Linked DNA regions of Schizosaccharomyces pombe. The protein of the gene in region 1 purifies or fractionates together with the protein of each later gene. This does not show direct contact. Each region holds a gene or a part of one and is shown on either strand. Other genes may lie near its edges.

Region 1 (3,927 bases):
AAAACAGGTACCAATGCCTCGAGGATGCGAGAAGGATACTTGACTTGCATGTCAGGAGCAAAATCTGTAGACATTTGGCCTACAGCATTGCATGCAGCCCATCGAACACGGGGGTGAGGGTCAGCTAACAAAGGAAGTACCATATCTAATACACGACTAAGCTCTTTTTTCATTAATTTTTCAGCACCTTCGGCAATTGATGAGATGGCCATAAGGGCAGCATGACGTTCAGACCATTTTTGAGACGGGATCAATCTAGGAAGCCACGTGAAAGAGGGAGGAAGAATTGTTTTTCCGCCCAACTTTCTAGAAAGTCTATCCATGGCTTGTTCCGCGACAACATGGTTAGCATCACTTTCATCCTGATCCAAATCGTCCGTGTTCAACCATTCTTGAAGTTCTTCTGCCTCATCCTCAGGATCGCCAGCGACATCGGTCATTAGCAAGAGACATTGAAGTACAAGTTGATCAGTGTAGTCGGAAGATTTCCTACACATAGCAGGGGCACCCTCCGAAAAACAAACAAGCAATTCAAGAGCAGCTTGGCGAGCGGAATTATCCAGCTCCTTGTCCTTAATGATACCAAGACCAAATGCGATGACGCTCTCAAAAATAGGTTTGAATAACTTTGGGAAAACTTCGGCGATTTCAGTGATGGCCATAAGACAGTCCGCCAAATTATCAGAATCACGATCTTGTTGCAGAGGGGGAAGGATGTTCATGAGGCTAGGTAAAAGAGGAATAACCTGATCTCGAGTGGATTGTTTGCTCTCAAGAATAACGGCAGAATAGGCACGAGCGGCAGATATTCTTACACGGATACTAGGATCAGCTAAACCGGTGGTAAAGAGAGGAGTAACAGCACTATCTTGACCTGACAATAAACGAGGTAAAGAAGTGATGGTACGGAAAACTGATTCACGAAAAGACTCATCAGGAGAGTTAACAGCATTGAAGATAACGTTAATGAGTTCTGGCCATTCGCCTTGACAATCATAGATAGATCGAGCAATCTCGGCGATTGTGTCACAAAGCTTATTACGAACAGTGGGAACTGACTCCTTAACAAAGCAAGCTAGAAGTTGACTTTGCAAAGACTGTTTGGACTCATTTGAAATGCTAGAGAACACTTCCAACTCACTGTCTCCTGGTAAGGTGCGAAAGGAAATACGACGGCAAAGAACTAAACAAAAGGAGCGCACAGCTGGGTCCTCACTTTGATAAGCTAAAATCGCAAGGCCGTTTAATAATAAGTCAGCTCTTTGACTTATCCAGTCTGAGCTAAGAGACTTTTCAGCATCATTTCGGACAGTATTGTCAGGCGACGAAAGGCCTTGAACTAAATTTAAAAGAGGAGACAATACTTCAGGAGGAAATCCACTAGACATGATATTAAAAAAAAATGAGCAATCAGAGACGTGGATTTTGCAGTTTTAGAGGAAAAAGGTAAATAAACTTAAATACAACTTTCTCGTTCGGTCAGAGGCTGAGGTACCAAGAATGTTTTGGGCTGTAAAAAATGGTAATAAAGGCCGAACTTCTAGTATTAACGAGTGAAGCAAGTTTTATCTTTTATAATACCTAAATTAAGCCAGCGATACTATACAAAGTAGAAGTGCCAACTGTCTACACTAAGGGAACCCCAAGGGCAGATGGAGAAAGGAGTGTATCGACTTGTGGTGTAGTGTATTACATGAATCGCATCAAATTTTTAAAGTAATGTTGCGCATCGTTTTTTTAATTTATCGCAACAGTGATAATTTTTACCAAAAAAAAACACTATTCTTGTAAACTACGTTAACTTTACATAGTGTTCTACAAGGATTGTAAATTCGTATAAGGAAAATTTGTGATTTCGTTTTCAAATCACAAAAAAATAGAATAGTTTGGATTATGAAGTATGTTTTAAATTTGTAAGTTTTTATTTTCTTGTCTTTTTTTTTTAATTCCACATTATTGAATGAACGCATTTTACCATTCCAGCAACTTAAAATCCGTTCACATTTCGTTTTCCCATTGAATTATTGATGAGTGTGATGAACAGAAAACAAAGTGTCATGCTCATTAAGGTTTTCATATTTTTCTTATTAGACTCACAATTACATACACTAGTAGAGACAGGTATGGTGAATGAATTGCTAACATTTTGAATGCCATCATTACAAACTAGTTAGTATCAAATTATAGTCGGTATCATCCGAGGCTGCACATAACAATGTAGCGATAAAAAGTAATTTGAAATTTTAGCACATACAGGAATCAGGGATGAGTGGCAATTTAGTAATAATCGTGAATATTCCGATGTACCAGTGCAAGCTAAGTTATTGTTCGCTAAGCTTGTTTTGGAAGCGTTTATATGTAAGTATGTCTGATCTATTTTAAACAATTGCATGGATAAAGTCTCGGCCTTTTGTCTTGCATAAAGTCATATTAAATTGAAATTGGCGGGAAACCAGAATTAGGATAGAATAAGATTAGTGTAGTATAGAATTAACAAGAAAGGTATGCATAAAGAGCATTAATAGAGGTTTATTAGAAAAATAAAGCGATAAAAAGGAAATGTAGTAGAGCAAGAGAAGTAAATTCTTTTAATTTTGAAATTTCCGCCAATGTATCGTCCAACCGACGCTGCTTGTTATACTACGCAGTTTGAATGTCTAGCGATTTCCATAAATCAACTTCTTTGAAAACATTCGCTAGCATTCAGGACGAAAGGCGATGTGTAAACAATGAGGAGACTTAACTTACCACCGCTAGTCTTAACTTCACTGGATAATGTTATAGAATAATGTTGTAGAAACCGGTATAGGAAACAGTGATTTTCCCAGGGTTGCTGTTATCTCGGATTCCCGTTTTACATTGCTTTTGGCAGGGAATTACGATAGCAAACCAACTAAAATTTCCTTTCCGTCTTTAAACCGAGACGCTATAGTACAATTGATTCGTTAAGTTCCCGATGGCGGGCGATTTCATGACGAGAAAAAAAATCGGTAATTCGTAGACTAGAAGAAAGAAACCATTTTCAAATAATATCGTTCTACTAGAATCGGAACATGCAACCGAATGAATTTGTTTTTTTAAAATATTTTTAACGTTACTTCAAATGTACGGTATGGAAACGTAATTGACAATTGGCGAAATAGACGAATTCAATTTAAGAGATTTGAATACATGGAGAGATTGAATGTATAGTATCTAATTAAGGAGAATTGATGAATTTTTTAGATTTTTTAATGTGATTCCGGTTCTTCGCTATAATTGCTTGCATTCCAAAATCCCCGTAGCATCCATTTCCATCAATGGTTTTTCAATTCCCGTACACGGTTATTTTTCCACCGCTCTGCATTGCGAGTTCTGTGGCAATACCCAATGTTCTACTAGGATATTCTATTAAACCACGCTATATCAAGGAACCAGGCCTTTCCATCTTCCCCATTCTATTCATAGGAATTTTGGCCGCTTCCCTAGTAGAAGGGACAGCCAAAAAAGAGCGAAATTTCAAATGGACTTTTATAGGATCTTGGTAATATGCATCCATGTATATACCAGGCTAGTTTTTGCGCCATTGAAAAAGGATTTAAAACTTTTACGCTTAATCAGCCTTTGCATTCCAATAATTCGACCTTTTTCTTTCCTCATTTACCCACCACCCAAATCTTTCTCCCCGCTCAACTCTATTCTTCCATCTATCTTACCCATTATTCCTTTTGCTATCTCATCTAGCCTGCTCTTTTCATATACTTTTCACGTTTTCTACCGTTTCCTTTTCCAGCCGCTATTATCGGTCCCATATGCCAATTCCAAACAAACCAATTGTTTACTCGTAGCGAGCTTTGTTTATTTACCCTATCGGAGCCCGTTACCGGTTGTCATAGAAATAATGGTACAGCGTTACTTGTAGATTCAGCTCTTCCCAATCAGTGGTGT
Region 2 (3,927 bases), on another chromosome or scaffold:
ATCACAAAGAACGATTTTTAATCGTAATTGACGATATGTAATTTTGGATTTCATATAAAATTGTAACTACTTATTAAATGATCATTAGGGGAAATAGCGCACACTGTTTTATATCCTCTTCAAATTTACAAAATGAAATTAATCAATTTTAGCAATTTACCTATTTTATATGATTGAATTGAATTGAAAAAACCATGAGTTGATTATGACGCTGAAAGAAAGACATATAAGATCCTTAGGACACTACAACTCTTTCTACTTGAATGCGAAAGTGGATTGGTCTCACCAAAAGATTACCGTACACAAGAACTTCGGTGCTCTAGCAAGTTTTCTTTCAACCAGGGCAATTGCAAAACGAAGAAATTCTAGTGGTACACCACACTGTTAAAAAAAATTGACTAGCATATTAACATTGTTAGATTATTCACTTTTTAAATTTGGAAATACGAAGCTTCAAACATAAGCCATAATAAACACAGTGAAGGCTTTAGCATTAAATTTATTAAAAACACTGCTTAGCAGTTTGTAAAGTCAAATGTTTGCTATGAACATTTTGAGTAAAAATATAACAAAGATTTATTCTTTTCTATACAAATCAGAAAATATATAAAAACAAAACATATAGTGAAATTAACATATATAACAGAAAAGGAAGCAATGTAATGAACAAAGCGATCTAGACTAGAATATGTCAAGGAAACATACTTTACGACGTACAGCCAGTCTAGTGAGTAAAAAAAAAACACACTCTTAAAACAAATACCAAGAACACGAAAAATAAAATGTTGTAATATTTCTGAATGTATTGGTTCAAATACCAGTAGTGAACGTTAGTATTAACAGAAAGAAATCCAAAAAGAACGAAAATGCACAACGAATAAAATAGTATGAAGCAAGATAATTAAGTCCGAAAATAAAAATTCCGTACCATGGAAAAAGGTAATGGAGATCACTTACAAACAGAAAAGTCGCTGCTGAGATGCAATAACAAGAGGAGATGAGAGATGACAAAAACTTTTGGGAAACTTAGGAAGAAGAGGATATGGAAGTGACGGGACGAACATCGTTAAAATTTGGTTCCATGGTAGGAAGTTTGAAGGCGATTGAAGGACCTGCCTTTAACATCGGAGCAGACTTCGAGGACTTGTGTAAGTCAATAAGTAGTTGAGCATAAACCTTGGTTTCCTCGGATTCACGGACACGTTTAACAGATTTAGGGCTTCCAGAGTACAAACATCCTTCTACACTATTGCAAACACCACGTTTACGTATCTTCTCCATTACTGCTGGGTTTTCAGGTGTAAAATTAATTTCGTTTTGGGGAGACATAGATACACGAATTCTTCCATTTTCGGATGGAACGGACTTTGCATCTTTACTGTCACTATCCACACGAATTCTCTTGGCCGAATCACCCAAGAAGGCATGAGGATCTAGCTCAATGGGAATCTCTGTATAAACGGCATTCTTAGCACAGGGCGGCTCGACCGGATAATTGTACTGATTTACATAACGGTTTTCATTCTCAGTAGTCGCAGAATCTGGCTTGACAACTTCAGAGTTTACTTCGACTTCCTTGGGGCTATCCAAAGTAGAATTCTTCAACTGAGCCTGCAGCATCTCCAACTGCTCAAGCAGCTCGTTGTTCTCCTTCTGTAACTTTCCGATCGTATCCTGATATTGTTTTTCACGAACACGGAATTTGGCTTCCTCGACCGACAAAGCTGAAGTCGGCCCAGGTCTTGGTTTAATAGGTGCCTTTCTTCTTCCCAGAGCATCTAACGCAGGTTTCCTTCCTGGTTTGGGACGAGGAGGAACAACCCATTGTTTAGAGACGCGAATCATCGGCTTTTGAGGTGCTGGAGAAGCAGAAGATGATTTTTCCACTTCCGATGGACTTTTAGACGATTCCATGAGCAAAAAAAAAGTTGGGGGGATAGGAGATATCAAGTACAGAACTACACTTTTAGCAAAATATATAAATCTTTATTTTCCAATACTCCAATGCCTCTACTGACCAAGCTTAAAAATCTCACTTTTTCAAACGTTTGTCGTTGGTGGTTTGTTTTAATCTGATAAAGAGATACGATTAAATTATATCTGATCTAAGTGCCGTGTGGTTCGATGATTGTACTGTTAACCCGGTATGCAACACCTCGTTATATCTTTAAAGACTCAATTTTCGGGAAAAAACGGATTAGTGAACAGGTCGGCTTAGAGGCGCTGTTGACATACATTCTCAATACCCATCATTTCAGTTACAGAACCAATTAAAAAACGCGGGTATGGTGGACATCATCTGATTAAAACCGATCGACCTAATAAACTCTGGGCTCTGGCTATGTAATACTACAATCATTCGGCACACCAACTATCATAGTAATGCTTATCCATGTTACTTTTTTGGAGTTAAATTAATGTTCTGACTCACTGCTTTTCTCATGTCATACCGTCCTTTGAAGATTATTTAACATTTGTTTATATTTTTGATATAATGAGATGAAACGAAAGTGCACTAACACATGTGACTGTTTTTTGACTCCTAGTATATAAGAAATGTGAGTGAGTTAAAACAAAGCTTCATCTCACAAAATAATGAATTACTGATGTCAAAAAGTCTGCTCTCTTCTAACGCGGTTATAATATAGAACCGTATTAATGGTTGCAGCTTTTTCCTCTTCATGGAATCGGTATAGATTATGTCGGGGAGACCGACAGCATAGCTTAAAACCATCGTGAAGTCGTTGCTTCGTGCCATGGCTCGTGATGACCGAATGCTACGTACAGTTTTTATATTTTATATCATTTTTTAGTTTGATTTATGTTGTATTCAGTTATTGTTGTAGTTAAAATACGTTGTTTTAATAATTCACGTTGTTTCGTGCCTTCTCAATGAATATCATTTTTTTGTAAGCATCATATGTCTCATGTACAGTAGTGGTAAAAAGAATAAAGGTTGCTATGCACGCAAGGATGGAGTGAATGTATGGATACTTAGCTACTCAGTTTATCCAAATGGTTTCGATAAAACTTCAAGCACAATCTTAAATTAAAGTTACTTTGCAAATTCATCAACGGGATTGCGATTGTCGTGAAAAATTTAATTGATTATTAATAATTCAATTATAAAAATATGAAACAAAAGAGCTCGAAAAAACATTACTTATAAGAAAAATCGAAACAGCGCTAAAACATTTACTGTAAAGCTGAGGAACACCGAAAATAGCAAAATTTAAATCTTCAAGCTACTCGTACCCTGAATACTCAAGGCATATATAGTACCATTAGCTGATTACAACTCTTGAACCTATCATGATGTGCCTTGTTGTTCTTTCCCTTAAGTCTCTTTTCCCGAATTTTGTAGATCAGCAGCCTCCTCGATCTTTTCCTTAACATCTTTGCTGTCAACTTTTTCAGCCTTTTCATTTGCCTCTTTATTATCATCCTTCGCAGGCTTCTCGTTAGTGTCCTTACTGTCAGTCTGTTCGACTTTGTCCGCAGTTTCTTTGCTATCGGTCTTTTCCTCCTTGTCATCGACCTCTATACTATCAGTCTCCTTAGCCTTGACATCGGCCTCTTTACTTTCAGTTTCTTCGACCTTGTCCTCAGTTTCTTTGCTATCGGTCTTTTCATCCTTGTCATTGGCCTCTATACTATCAGTCTCCTTGGCTTTGACATCGGTCTCCGTTTTACCAGTGTCTTCATTTGTTATCTTTGTATCTTTCTCCTCAACATCCTTATGAAGACTAGCTTTGTTATTTTCGTCCTTACTCTCCTTTTCTTCCCCAACGTCAGATTTCTCTTCTAAATTGGCTTCCGAATCAGCATTCTTGGCTTCAGTTTTCTCAGAAATTTCAGCTGTATCAGACACATCGGATGCTCCTTTACCAACAGCAGGCTCATCAGTTTCGGTTTTTTCGGCTTCAA

What was found.
Region 2: the proteins of sal3 (region 1) and php4 purify together in Schizosaccharomyces pombe (affinity purification with western blotting, with the first as the bait; one study listed by BioGRID). This does not show direct contact.

The regions. Positions count from the first base shown.
Region 1 is NC_003421.2:2,257,743-2,261,669, reverse strand, and holds the start of sal3 (karyopherin/importin beta family nuclear import signal receptor Sal3), read right to left. Parts: upstream 1,655-3,927; 5' UTR 1,389-1,654; coding exon 1-1,388. Other genes in the region: SPOM_SPCC1840.13 (uncharacterized protein), read left to right, coding at 3,503-3,901.
Region 2 is NC_003423.3:1,914,824-1,918,750, forward strand, and holds php4 (CCAAT-binding factor complex repressor Php4), read right to left. Parts: upstream 2,070-3,927; 5' UTR 1,915-2,069; coding exon 1,027-1,914; 3' UTR 552-1,026; downstream 1-551. Other genes in the region: SPOM_SPBC16E9.02C (CUE domain protein ), read right to left, coding at 3,338-3,927. UniProt on the Schizosaccharomyces pombe protein: Component of the transcription regulatory CCAAT-binding complex. Required for the reprogramming of the cell for iron use. Down-regulates pcl1, sdh4, and isa1 underlow-iron conditions.